Diceros bicornis minor: one gene and its partner. The protein of the gene in region 1 purifies or fractionates together with the protein of each later gene. This does not show direct contact. Links are inferred from orthologs where the notes say so. Each region holds a gene or a part of one and is shown on either strand. Other genes may lie near its edges.

Region 1 (6,947 bases):
AGTGTCTCTCAGCTGCCTCAAAATCTCCTGCCTGATATTCTCGATGTGCCAACTCAGCTAACCCTTGGAAGGAAAGCATACGTTTCGTTGGTTCTGGAGAATCATCAAAACATTTGAGGGAAGGAGGGGGGAAAACAAAAAGTTAGAAATGCAAACAAAAAAATGTAAAAATATGGTATATTAAACTTAAAGATGAAAAGGCTTGAAACTATGTAAAGCACTAGAGTGTTCTGCACATTACTTATACCCCCAAGTTAACACCAGGTGCAGAATTGGCATTTTTAGAATTCACCCATTAACTTTCTTTTCCAGACTCGATAGAAATATTTACTTCCAAATGAGATTACATTTTATGACCAAAAATACTTTGTACCTTCAAATTATAAATCCAGAGGTAGTATCTAAAGATTCACTAAACATTATTCCTTATACCTTAAGTAACATAAAGAAACAAAATATAAAACGTGATTTACAAGGTCACAAATAATCTACTGGGAAATTTAATACTTTGTCCCATGTTTTAGGTTGGATTTGTGGGGGGTAGGGTACTGGCAACAATCTCTCTCTTAACCTGGGACACCATGAGTTTTTAACTCTTAAAATTATATTGATGTTTTTGTATATTTCACAACTTCAGTTTTTAAAATTAAATTAAGGGCGACACTAGAAACAAGCAAAAAGGAAAAAAGAACTAAAAGTCAAGGTGCTATTTTTAAAACAGCTGACAAACAAGATGAATTCATCTGTCAAGAGCCAAAATATTTAAAGGGGTCATCAAACATTTTAAATAAAAACCCAAGATTATACAGCTCCTCTACCATCCCAAACTCATGAGACCAAATTAACTAAATCCCACCCACGACGGTTTGACACCAGCATTTTCCAGAGAGCACTGACATTGTCTAAAGGATTAAGACATTGCAAACAACCCTACATAAACCAAGCAGTTACCTACAACTGCAATGACTTAAAAAAAATAACGGGAAAATGCTAAAACATAAAACCATTTGATAATGTGCAACAGAATGAATAATAAATGAAAACACTTTGCTGTAAGTAACTTAATTCAGATACTTAAAGGATATGGGTAAAGCTCAGAGAGGGGAAAAAGAACAACAACAAACTAAGTCTCAATTGTAAATACTTAAACAATGATACATTACTGGGAATTTGGCCATAGCACTTTCACTAGACGGTTGGAATGGGAAACCATGTACAAATTACTTAAATCCTACCAAGGTCACAGTGACAAACTGAAATCCGAGCCTAGCTCCCCAATTATGAGAGCTGGCGAGTGATCTGTATGCTCAGGAAAGCAAAGTAAATTTCCTGACAGAATGCACAGCTGACTAACACAAGAGCCAGAGAGACTTGCATCCAAATCCGGGAGGGGTTCTATCTCTAATAGAAACTACAAAATTACATTTTAGACAAGTCTCTAGAACTTCCTAGCTCCTTATTTTAACACATTTTATCAACTTTTCAAAGCCGCTTATCCGCTATTTTTAACACTTTAAATGACAGCTTCCTCAAATAAAATAATACACCTAGAAAAGGGCAAGCTAGTACAGAATCTTAAATCTTTAAAAGTCCCTGGGCGGGAGGCGACCACTGACTAATTATTAATCCCACTGTCTACAATCATGGATAAGATACGATTGAAGATTCACCTATTACTGCACAATGTCCAAAAACAATAAATAAAACCCTTGACACATCTCAACTGAGAAACAACGACAACAAAAAAATAACCTCGTGGGAAACCTTAGAACCGCAGCCCAATCCCACCCCCACCCCTCCCGCCCCAAATAGCCTCAATATGGAAAGGCAGCTGAGGGACGCTCCTGTAATTTGGTTGTTTTCTTATTTTTAGTACCAAATGCTGTCGACTGAATTGTCTAAAAGGGCAACCGCCTTGCACTTGTGCAGCTACACTCCAGTTGCTTTACAAACTCTTCAAGCAAGGATGGAAACCAAAAAATACACACCCTATGAATAAAGAGCTACTGAGCTAAGGAATGGGGATGGAAGCCCCAGAAGCGGTGGCGGAAGAACACAGGGAGAAAGTAACACAAAGCGAGACTTCGGCGGGCAGGGTGGTCAACGCCAAAGCACCAAGCCCCCAGGGTGGCTTCTCCCCAAGGATAGGAAGTGGACTGCAGGGCTGGCAACCTCGCGAAGGAAAGGGTGTGGTTCCCCCGGGAAGGGAGGGAGCACAGGGTGGGAAATCCAGGCTGGGGGCAGCGGGTGGAATTGGGCGATGGCGAAAGGAACCCCTGGAAATTTCCAATCTAAACCGGGGCCGCTCAACCGAAGGAACACCCGAAAGGCGCTGCCCAGCGGGGTGCTCTCAATATCCCCTCTTCTCGAGGTTACGTAGAGCCCACCGAGGAGCTTTTGCTCGTCCTTGGGTGATGCACAGTGAGGATACGCTTCCATCGGAATGGCACCCCCGCCCCAGACTGACAGCGAAGGACCGGATCTAGCTACGGAGAAAGGCCTAAAGGGGGATGTGGCAGGGGAAGAGGAGGGGGCGATGAGCTGAATTAGGGGGAAAACAGCTGCGAAGGCGAGTCAAAGGACAGGAATTCCACTGCAGTCCATTCCGAGACATCCTAGGCGCGCACGTGGGGTAGAAACGTCCCGAGAGAGTAGAAAGCTGGAAAATTTATGGAATTCAAAAGCAAGCAAGCAAGCAAGAGGAAATGTCTGAGGAGCGGACGACAGCGGAAAACCCGACCAGACGCCGGTAGAGAACGAAAAGCTCCGCAATGCCACTGCTGTAATGGGGATGGCTAGGGTGAAGGAAGGGAATGAGGAGAGGTAGAGGACGGCGCGAGACCCCAACGCGGCGTCAGCTAAGGTAGAACGGACACCGGTACCTGTGCTGTCGGCCACGTTGCCCACGGAAGACGCCATCTGGAGCTTCTTGAGGAAAAACAAGAGGGGGGTAATTGAGTCCTGTTGCCGCCACTACTGGCAAGAATGTTTCTAGAGGTAGGAGGAGGAGGGCAGCAGCCGTACCAGTGTTTTGGCAGGCTTAAGCGGCGGCAGCAGTTACAGGCTTCGAACCTTAGAACTCTAGTTGCCCATCTACCTCTCACGGTCTTGAAATGGCGGCGACGGCTCCTCGGCCGAAACAACACGGACCGGAACTACTTTCTGTTACAATCTAGTACCGGCGCGGAAGTAGCGCGGTAACCAGCTCTACCCACAAAATGAGTGTACTCGAATCCCCTAGCTCTTTTGTAACCTTCCGCGCGGGGCCCATTGCGACAAACACGATTCTGTCGAAAGCGCATGCGAGCAACCCTGTCAACCGCACTCGCGGTTGGGGCACTGTCTGGGCGAGGAGCGTCCAAGTTTTTTACTAGTGAAGCGGAAGGGTAAAAAGAAACCCGTACACGTGACGGATGCATTTTTGCCAAAGTGGTCTAGTCTATTAGCTAGCCAATGGTGAAGATTTTGATATAAATGCCAAAGACATCTGAAAAAGTTTAATCAACTTTATTCGTACCAAAATGGATAGTTACAAGTTTAATGGATCAATTCTGAGCAAGTAAATTTAAATGGTTATATTTCAAAGACTGAACTGTTGTTCAAAACGATAGGGGAGGGTCCCAATTTGAACACGTCTTAATTCTGACTCCAGCCATTGGTTTAAGCACTTTAACAAAGAAGATTGATGCTTTCACAGGGCCAAATGAACCCAAACATCTCACATCGTGGCCATATAGCCCGAAATTTCAAAATCATTTTGGTATTCAGGATAGGTCTGCTCACAGTATGAGGGCAAATGCTTCATAACTCAGAAACATGCTGAGAGTTTGCACTCCAAAGGCAGCCATAAAGATGTTAAAGATGATTCATATTCGTCAAGATCCATGACTCTTCTGAGTTGTGACTCCATTTCCACCACATAGCTTTGCAAATCATCACAATCAGTGATTTCGTTTAGCTCAAAGCAGTTCAACAATAATAAATGAATTCACTTAAACCTCATATCTAGATGGAGGCTGAATTGCCTCCACTTCCTTGAAGAAATGAGCTCTTATGATCTTCCTGCAGTTTCAAATCCACTATTCAGACATTTTGTCACATTGGTATTAATTTACATCTCATCTCTTATTCCAGAAAAGATTTAGGGTAGCTTGCCACATCAGCAAGAAATTATTATAAACCAATGGAGGCAACAAGTTGGATCTCTCAGAGCCTTTTTATTTCAAAAAGTCCTTGATCTAAGAAAACAGGTCAGTGAATTTCTTCAAAACATTTCCACTACCTAGTCATTTGACTACATTAAAAAAAAAAAAAAACCTAAGTCCTCAAGTTCTGCTTCAATTTCTTTGAGACAGTTCACAAACTTTCATTATGGATATGAGCACAGAGAAAATTCATACTATTGATAATTTCCTCCATCACATTCATAATGAAGAGTCACATGCAGTGAAAAAGACCAAGTTCACTCTACAAACTCTCCTGGAAATTGGGCACCAATCTATTCTCTTAATTTGATTTAACTGGTAAAAGTCCTCCCCCCCCCCCACAAATGCCCCCATCTGTGGTGAGTAAACTCAGCTTTTCAACTTTTAGAACAGACTTCTCAGATTCCACTGGCAGATGTTTAGGCCTTACTGATTAGTGGGTGCTAGCTAATTAAGTAAAACTCTTTTTGTTGTTAGATGCCAGGTCGTTTTCCCAGTCAGGCAGGCTATTTGGCCCATTGATACTTGTGGTCTAAGGTTCCTTATCCTGACAGAAGAGTCAGAGGATGTTACGATACATTTTGCTGGGTGGAAAGCTGGATAGTGGGGCTCACAGTGGTTCAATAAAGAAAAACCCCTGTTGGAGTCTCAAGAACCCCCTCCAGGTACCTTCCAGAAATAGCACCTGGAGGGTTTAGTTTGAGGGACTTACTCATCTGACAAACACATCTTCTTTGGCCAGTCAGGTAACATTTACTAGAGTGCAAAGCACTGTGGCGGACACAAAAGTCACCAAGACAAGATCTTTGCCCTTAAGGAACTTGAAGCCCAGTTAGGTAGACACAAAAAGCTACCAGAGCATAAAACAGAAGAGTAGTATTTAGGTGATGAAATATATTACTGTCTATAAATATCTGGGGAGGGAACAGTCACTTCAGGCTGGAGGAGGGTGACGAAGAAGGCCTGACTTGGACATCGAAGGAGGTGCTTTTGTGTGTTCTCTTGAACGCTGATTTCTGGTTATTTTTTTTCTCCCTTTTATGTGCAGCAATTCTAAATTCAGAATCATCTGAAATAAATCAGCCACACTTCAATCCCAATTCCAAACTTTGCCATCCTAATAACACCACTAACGGTGTCTTCGTTTTCTGTTACTTTGTAACAAGTTACCACAAATTGAGCGGCTGAAAACAACACACATTTCGCACCAGCGGCGCTAGCGCTGGGCGAGGGAGCGGGAGACACGCTCTGGCCGCCACCGCCACTCTGCGGCTGGAAAATGGCTCCAAAGGCTCAAGGAAGCTGGAAAAATACAGAGATGTAGCCCCACAGGCTCTCCAGATGTTTGGGGATAATATTCCAGAGAGAAATTGAGCCCCCTGGGTTAGGTAACCAGTCATAATGAAGAAAATTAGTCTTAAAACCTTCCAGAAATCTTTGAACCTGAATAAAAGTAAAGGAGAAACTGATTTCAGGGTAGTATGACAACCATCACTAGCCAGTGAGTTTGGAAAACGTGATTCCTTATTTGGTAGCTGCTATGGTAAAGATATGGCCAGCTGTGATATCAACAGTGAAGATGAAAAAGGTGGAAAACATAGATTAAGAGGGAAGCCTAATGGGTACACTAAAAAGGCGGCTTTCTGCAGAACAAAAGCTGAAAGGCAAGGGGAGCCCACCCTCCAGGAGCTCTGCCAGAGGATACGTTTTCCTCTCCTCAGCACCAATAATAGTCTTTAAAGATGTGAGAGCTCAAAGACCAATAAGATCCACTTCCCTTGGCAATCATCCCTATAGTCCTACCCCTTGACCTCTTGACTTACAAACGCTGAGGATACGTGTATCAAGATGGAGGAGGTGAGAGTCAAAGCCTAGGTTTATTCTTCCAATCCAAGTCCAGCACGGAATAATGTTCAAAAAGATTTTCAGTCTTCAGCCTGAAACTGCGTGCTAAGAACAAAATAACTCATTGAAGAGTTCAGAATCTCAAAATGGAGACTTGCATCTTCACCTCAATGAACACATGCCTGTAGTTATTGGACTTATGCCTCAAGACTGCGTTTGGTATTCTGTGCCTGTAGATGAGGGGATGCATCCTTTAGAAGGATCGCCTAGCTATTGTCTGGACAGTTCTTCTCCCATGGAAGTTTCTGCAGTACTTTCTCAAGTGGGAGGGAACTCTTTCTCCAAAAATGAAAATCAAGTAGGCCAGGACATAGTCGTTGCCCCAGAGATCTTTGTGGATCAGTCTGTGAATGGCTTGTTCATTGGCACCACAGGCGTCGCATTGCAAAGCCCAAGAGCGAGTCGTGATGATGTCCCTCCACGTTCACCATTGCTACCTCTAATGCAGAATTATCAAATGCAAACGAACTGCAGTGGACTCACCGGCACAGATGTCCATGTGTCTGAAAGTATGCGCTATTATTTGAATTTCGATCCTGACTCTGCTCCTGAGGTTGCAAGAGTTTATGATTCAATGGAAAGTAGTGGTCTTATGGTTGTAACAAGCCTTACAGAGGAGCTGAAAAAACTTGCGGAATAAGGATGGTACTGGGGACCAATTACATGCTCAGAGGGTGAAGGGAATCTAGTAAATGTTCCAGATGGTTCTTTTCTTGTTCAGGATAGTTCTAATGACAGTTATAGTTTAAGCTTGAGCTTTCCTTCCCATGGTAACACACTTCACACTAGAATTGAGCACTCAAATGGTAGGTTTTGCTTTTATGAACAGCCAGATGT
Region 2 (7,547 bases), on another chromosome or scaffold:
TCTCCAAATAAACAGGAAGAAGGTTAAGATAAATGAGAAAAATTGGCAAAAAGGCTTGAATATTATAAAGTCAGACATTCTGCTGTTCCTAGTTTAACACAATAAAAGATTAAAAATTAGAGAAGAATTGATGCTGTCACACCATACATGCCCAGAAATTATGTGTCTCTCATTCTACACCACAAATTCACCACACATTGTTTGTTGAAAATTCCATTAAGGGTGAAAAGGAAGACTTTCCTTTCACGGATCTTTACCTTCTGTCTCTGCATCATATTCAGGAGGTCTCCGAAGGGTGACTCTTCAGGGTTATCGAAGGCCAGCAGGGCCAGCGTGCGCTCCATTTCTGTCAGGCACTCTCTGCTCTCCTCGCCTTGCTCCGCCAACTGGGTCTGGGCGAACTCCAGCGCCGCCTCTGTCTCACGCTGGCGGATCAGCTCGATCAGGTGCTGTTGCTAGTCATGGGTAAAGGCAGACAGGCTCACACACCACACACCCAGGCAAGCGATACCCGGCGAGGGGCATTTGTTTCTGTCCATCTTAAAGGACAATTTCCTAGCATCTCTGAGTCACTAAATTTGCATTTTTAAAGCAAGAACTGGCTTCTGAAATACGTAAGACAACAGCTAACTCAAACCCCTCCCCCACATAAATTAAAACAATATTCTATTAATGCAGATTAGCCTCATTACTTCTGAATCGTTGCAAATAATCTTAACGAGTGTCTACGAACCAGATGCCTCTCAACCGAAACTCACTTGCAGGTGGAAGTACAGATACCGGTTCGTGTCCAGGAGTTCTGGATGGAGGCTGTTGATCAACGCAATAGCCTCCTGAATCTGGCCTTTCAGGATCATCTCACGGATTTTGATTCGCTCGTCAAGTGTTTCTAGATCCACACTAGGTTCGATCCCGGATTCCATTCGAAACTTTTCTGCTGCCTCCTTAAAGCCCTCTGAAAATGAAAACCATCTTCACTGCTTGGAAAGCTAGCAAGACATTAACACAAAGCCTTTTATCTCTAGAAAGCCCGTTTGCCTAGAGTAAGTCCCCTCCAACTTGACCCCTGCTCGTTCTTTGGGATTTGTTATCAACAGCTTTGTGATAAACTAGTCATGCCCGTGAGATACAGAGAATGAGAAGAGTGTACTCATTCCTCTCTACTCCATCCAAACAAACTCTAACCCACCAGCTACAGGGGAGAATGAATGCTAGGAAGCCCAATGTGTTGATGTGGGCTCCTTGAAGAAGGCTGCAATTCCAGGTAGGACGCAGAGAAACTGCAGATCTGGTCTAGGTGAGGCAAGACACACTGGCTATGCCCTCACAGTCGATAGGGACCTGCCACTCCCACCTTTAATGAGTCGACAATTCTCTTCAACATCAAAGCAGCGTTATGTGCCTCTCTCTACACACACACTCACACGCACAGCTATAGGCTGATATTTCCTCATCACCTTTCAAAAAAGGTCTTAACAGAGACTAACTGGGCATCGGGTACTGGGAACTAGTAGGAAGGAGACTTCCACCTTTTGGAAACATCTGGATTCTCTCACCACGTACAGAACTGCCCTTTCCTCTCCCACGTCAAGGAGAACTGAGTATCAGCCAGAGAGCACTTTTCTTTCCTTCCTAGGCTTGTGCCCTTCTCCCTTCCTCTTTTCAGTTGGGCACACCTTCTAGAAACAGTCCAGTATAATCTACCAGACTGGCCAGAAGAGATCAATTATTTGGGTTTTAAATGTACTTCACAACATTCTTAATTATCTTAATTAACGGTAAGAATGTCAGAGGCCAAAAACAGGTTTTTGCCTTAGGTCTCAGAGACCCGGAATAATCTCATCTCCAGAAGAGGGTACCTTCCTCACGATCATTTACTAAGTTAGCACCACGTTTGTACAATGCCTGAACACAATGTATCTTTATCATGGAACTTCAGTGGTAAAATTCTGATTGTGTGTACAAAGAGGGAGAATTACCTGTGACCAGGTAGTTCATGATGAGACGGTTCATGTCTGCTCGCTGCACATGTAAGTTATTGAGTTTCTCCATCCACTCATCTTTTGTGATTTCATCGGGTTTTTCTGCGTAACTCATTCTGATTTATTTCTACAGGAAAAAAAATATTTTAAGAATCAGTGAAGAATTCTATGACAATTGTGCTCATTTCAGAAATAAACACAGTGACATACTAAAAAGTAAAAGGGAGTGGGAAGATAATTTAAATCTGGAAAACAGCAAGCGCAAAGGGCCTGAGACCTGAGACCAGAAAGAAGGCTGGGGTGTTTAGAAGGCAGGATGAATGCAAGAAAGAGCCAAGGGTCTCAGAACTAAGAGGTCAAGAGGTTGGCTGGGGTCAGACTGAGTAAGGACTTACAGGCTGAGGGAGGAGTGTAGACAGATTCTCCTCTACGTGCAAAGGGCAGCTGTGAGAGGTATAAACTAAAGGATTACACACTTGTCTTATGTGCTCAAAAGAAGCCTGCAACTGTATACCCACCACACTGACAAAAATTACCAGTGTTAACAGAGATAGGGAGTTCTCTTGAACTCTTTACACTGCTGTCAGAACAGACTGGTGCTGCAAAAACTTTTGGCATTCCTTGTAAAGCCGAACACGTATGCTCCTTGCAGCCTAGCAAATCTACTCCTGTTAGATTGAGACCCTCAAAAACTCATCATACATCAAACACAGACAAGACTGTCTAAAGAAACTGTTCAAAATGGCAAAAATGTGGAAGACACCCACCCAGATGTTCATTTAAACAGCAGCATGGACAAGGAACTGTGGTTCACAGAACCAAAATCCCAAGCCCAAAATCCTGGGGCAGATATGTTTCAGAATTCAGAATTCTGCAGACTGCACAAACACTATATGGCACACTTTACCATACAGTATATGACATCCTCATTGGGGTCTGGGGCAGCACCTATAATCAAATATCATTTCTTCAACGAAATGTACGTGTACTCAAACTGAGTGGAATAGAGACTATTACACAGTCTTTACCAGGTCAGGGTTTACCATCAAATAGGTTAAAAACAAAAACAAAAACCTGTGCTTTTCAGAGCTATTTGGATTTTAGCATTGCTGAGAAGGGATTGTGATCATGTATTCACATAACAGAATTCACTAAAGCAGTTAAAGCAACACAGCCACATGATGACCCTTAGAAACGAGCTGGATCAATCAAGCATGTTGCAGCAGGGGCCCAAGTGTGGCAGACACTTTTGTAAAGAACAAAAACAAGACAAACTACATAATACATGCTTTGGCAATAAATACATATGGGCCAAAACTGTTCTGTTGTTGCTTTAAGTAAGGGTATGAAACACAAAACTAAGGAGGTGTTACTGTGGGAGGAGGGGGAGACAGGTGCCCACCCTGGGAGCACCTGCTGGGTTCCTGAGATGGGTGGTGAGCCCATCGCTGCCCACTTCATTTTCCTCCTCTGACATATACATCATGGATACTACTACATATAGCTAAGTACCTGCTAAACTGCTGAATAAGTAAAAGACGGCAAATGTGGGGTGGTGAGAGCTGAGCAGGAAGACGGGCAAAGAGCCACCCAAACAAGAGAGGGGAGCAGCAGAAGAGCTAGAGACACAGCAGATGGAGATTCTGTGGACACGGAGCAATGGGCCTTGCTGCTGGACTGAATGTGGAGGGATAAAAAAATGGGAAGACCTGAGGGCGATGGATGGGAGGTTTCAAGCTTGAGGTCTTGGAGGATGGAGCCACAGATGAGGGCGAAGGACCGGGAGAGGAACAGGTTTGAGGAGCAAGGCAAGTCTGGGCTATTACACATGCAGCTGGAGAAGTCAAGCAGGCACCTGGATTACAGGTCCCGAGCTCAGTGCTGGAAACATTAATTAGGGCAACATCTGCCAAAAAATGATAGGGAAAGCCAAGAGCTGGGCAAAGATCACCAAGGGAGATAGTGTGGGCAGGGAAGCAAAGGGGCACAAGACAAAGTCCTCAGGTACTTGGAGGACCCGCGACCTTAGAGATCAGCCCAGGGGGAGGCGCAGCAGAAGAAAACTCGCAGGGCAGGCAAAACCAAGAGACGCTGTCCTGCACAAAATACCCATTTCTCTGCTGCGGCCCACTGCACCACTCATTCAGGCCCTATTCTGATTCCCAGACAACAATTCAAGGTAACCGAGAACTAAGAAGGCACCTTCTCTCAGCGTCCACTGTAACCAGCAATCACCCCAGTACCACTCCCTGGCGTGGAGAGCGACTTTGCAAAGCAACCCCTTTGGAGAACTGGCCCGTTCTGTTTTGCGCAGGAAAAACTCGGCTGTTAAATATTCAATGTTTGATTCAAATCAAACATCCCAATTCTGAAGTCACGCAACCAGCCATGCACGTCCTGGCGAGCGCAGTCCCTGCTGAAGGGATTCTGCGATAACCTCGTTCTCTTCGCAGACACACATGTGCGACATCTCCAGTAACCACCGCCATTCCGGCTGGCGGCCCTTCCGAGCGCCGAACCTCCACTTGAACGCCCTCCCTCTGAGACCACACCGAGCCAAGCGCCCGCTCCACCGGCATGGCCCACCGCGACCGAGGAGAAACGGCAGTCTGACTGCAGGTCCGGAGAACGCCGCCTCCCCCGGGAACTCGCCCGATTCTGACACCTGCGGGGACCTGTGACCCCGTAAGGCCCGAGCGCGGTCCAGCGGCCTCGGGGGAAAGCCCCGGCGGCGCGGGGACCCGGGCCCGGCCCCTCCCGCGTCTCCTCCCCGGCCCCTCCCCGGCCCCCGCCCCGGTCTCCTCCCGCCCGGGTCTCCTCCCCCGTCCGCCGCGCTCCCGCCGAGACGCTCGGCCCGGCCGCCTGGGCCCGCCGCGGCCATCTTACCGTGCAGATCCCACCGCCCGCGCTTCGCGGTCCCCACGGCCGCTCGGGAGACCAGGCGGGCGGGGAGGGCGGCGGCGGCGGCGCCGGGGACGGGGAGGCGGAGGCGGGGGCCGCGGCGGAGGCGGGGGCGGGGAACCGGAGACCAGACGCACCGGCGGCCGCCCCCTCAGCCACTTCTCGCGAGATCGCGAGATCGCGAGCCGGCAGCCAATCAAGTGTTCCCGCGAGGGGGCGGGGCGCTGCGGCCGCCCGGAAGCGCGGATCTCCAGCTTCCGCCCTTGCGCAGAACACCCCTCGCAGCACCCTCGCTCTACGGATTGGCGCGAGAGTCAAAAGGCGTCGGCCGCCTCTGGGCAAGATGGCTGCCGTCGAAGTGTCGTGGTGGGGGAACTTCGCGCCGGGACGGCGACGTCTAGACTGAGTCGGAGGCGAAGGTCCCAGCGTCTCTTCCGTCGTTTGTGAGCCCGGAGGGCAGGGGGTAGGGGCGGGGGACAGGTGCCGGTGCTTCGTGCCGCCCCGAGGCGGGGGTCCCCCCGACCAGGCGCCTGCCTTCGCACAGGCCTGGGAGGAGCCGCCCGAGCGCGGCCGGCGGGAGCGCTGCGTTCTGTCTGTTGAGGCGGGTCCGGGGGTTGCCCGACCGTGTCGGTGAGCGCGCGCTCGCCCGCCGCCAGATGAGTCGACAAACAGGCCCGCCCTCAGGGAGCCTCCCTCCCGGGGACCGGTGGTCCCTGCGGCCCGGTGGTCCTCCCCGCCCGGGGCCCGGTGGTCCCAAAGCCTCGCTCAGGTTGGGCAGGGGCTGCAGGCGTGTGCGACGAGGGCCCCGAGGTGCCGCGGCCGCTGCCCGGCGCCTGGACAGTCTCCCTGTGCCGGAGCTGGGTTCTGGGGGACGCAGAGACGCAGAAATACACGTTTGCGCGTTTGTTTGCTTATTATTGTTTGTCTGTTCAAGAAGAACGCAGACTCCGTCAGAGCAAGGTTTTCCCACTGCGGGAGGGTAACGTTAAAGAGTTTTAGAGCGCTTCAGGAAGGAAATTGAAGGGGCAGCCTCTTATTTCATCCGATGAAATCCGACGTCTTCCTGAATTCGAACTCAGGAGTTAGATGGTTTCGTGTGATTGCTCAAAAGTGAACTAACGCGCAAGTGTTGGCGGACTTCTCCCAGAGAGTGAGTCCAATTTGCCAAACAGGTTTGACGGTGACTACTGGTTATGGACATTTTCCGTTATTGGAATGAGCTAATTTAGCACGTGCAAAGCTTTGACACAAATCTGGTATTTAAAACGCAGGTGCAGCAGCTGTCCGTAATCACGTTCTTTGCAGCTACTTAACTCTGCAAACACATTTGGATGTCAGCTTCATAGTGTGCGAGGGGGTGCAGAGTTTCAGAATTCTTTTCAAGGGTACACAGGCAAAAAGCTTGCATGCCAGTCCTCTAAGGAGATAGAATATTCCAGTCCAGGGAGGCTTCAGCTGCGCCTTCTCTGCGGGTCATAGGTTAACGGCCCCTCCCCCCAGCAGCCAGCCGGTTACCGAGTCTTGCAGATTCTACCTCCTCCATTCTGTCTAGAGACTGGCTGACTTTTTTTTTTTTTTTTTTTTTTTTTTTTGGTGAGGGAGATTAGCTTTGAGCTAATATCCGCTACCAATCCTCTTTTTGCTCAGGAAGAGTGGCCCTGAGCTAACATCTGTGCCCATTTTATACCTGGGTTGCCTGCCACAGCATGGCTTGATGAACGGTGTGTAGGTCCCACCCAGGATCCGAACCTGCGAATCCCGGTCCGCTGGAGTGGAGTGCACAAATTTAACCACTGCACTACTGGGCTGGCCCCAACTGGCTGCTTTTTATTGTTGCCAGCCTCTCCCCTGGAACATTTAGGCTATCCGCTCTGCTCCTTGGATTGCCCTACCGGCAGTCCTGCCAGCTCCTTTCTTTTTTTTTTTTTTTTTTAATTTTATTTATTTATTTTCCCCCAAGGCCCCAGTAGATAGTTGTATGTCATAGTTGCAACTAGAATCATAGTTGCACATCCTTCTAGTTGCTGCACGTGGGACACAGCCCCAACGTGGCCAGAGAAGCGGTGCGTCGGTGCGCGCCCGGGATCCGAACCCGGGCTGCCAGCAGCGGAGCGCGCGCACCCAACCGCCAAGCCACGGGGCTAGCCCTGCCAGCTCCTTTCTGAAACCCATGCAGCAGGCAGGGTGATCTCTCCTTGTACTCCTCACACACTTCCTGGACTCCCCAGCTGCCTGTGCAAAGTGAGCGCAGCTAAAAGCAGCACCACTCCTGCCTTTTCCCTCTCCACTCCAGCCATCTCAAGCTGTTTGAGGTTCTCTCCACTCACTAGGCTCTCTCACCTCTGGGCTCTCACATAAGACCCTTGCCTAGGCTGACTTCTCAGAGTGGGAAGACTCCCTAAACAAAGCTGGATGTAGTGCCTCTCCCGTGTGCTCACGTGATGTCCTGGGTTATTCCTCTGTAGCATTCGGCACACTGATCTAGATCACTGATGCCTCCTGGGATGTCACGATTCACCACAAACGTGAGCTTCACACAAGCTGAAGCATCTAGTACATGGTAGGAGTCCGTAAACATTTGTTGAGAATGTGAAGGAATAAGCGAGTGAGTGATGATGAAGACCTTAGCTAGAAGCAGTCTCAGGGGAAACGGACAAAGGGAGG

The links.
Region 2: the proteins of OGT (region 1) and DIDO1 purify together in Homo sapiens (affinity purification with mass spectrometry; 3 studies listed by BioGRID and IntAct, with this or other methods). This does not show direct contact. The link is inferred for Diceros bicornis minor from reciprocal best matches to the Homo sapiens genes OGT and DIDO1.

What each region holds. Positions count from the first base shown.
Region 1 is NC_080781.1:64,767,870-64,774,816, reverse strand, and holds the start of OGT (UDP-N-acetylglucosamine--peptide N-acetylglucosaminyltransferase 110 kDa subunit), read right to left. Parts: upstream 3,125-6,947; 5' UTR 3,025-3,124; exon of another isoform or gene 2,929-3,024; 5' UTR 2,920-2,928; coding exon 2,883-2,919; intron 94-2,882; coding exon 1-93. UniProt on the Homo sapiens protein: Catalyzes the transfer of a single N-acetylglucosamine from UDP-GlcNAc to a serine or threonine residue in cytoplasmic and nuclear proteins resulting in their modification with a beta-linked N-acetylglucosamine (O-GlcNAc).
Region 2 is NC_080758.1:1,210,560-1,218,106, forward strand, and holds the start of DIDO1 (death-inducer obliterator 1), read left to right. Parts: upstream 1-4,524; 5' UTR 4,525-4,601; intron 4,602-4,868; exon of another isoform or gene 4,869-4,951; intron 4,952-5,220; exon of another isoform or gene 5,221-5,326; intron 5,327-7,547. Other genes in the region: GID8 (glucose-induced degradation protein 8 homolog), read right to left, coding at 258-455, 759-955, 1,980-2,097. UniProt on the Homo sapiens protein: Putative transcription factor, weakly pro-apoptotic when overexpressed. Tumor suppressor. Required for early embryonic stem cell development.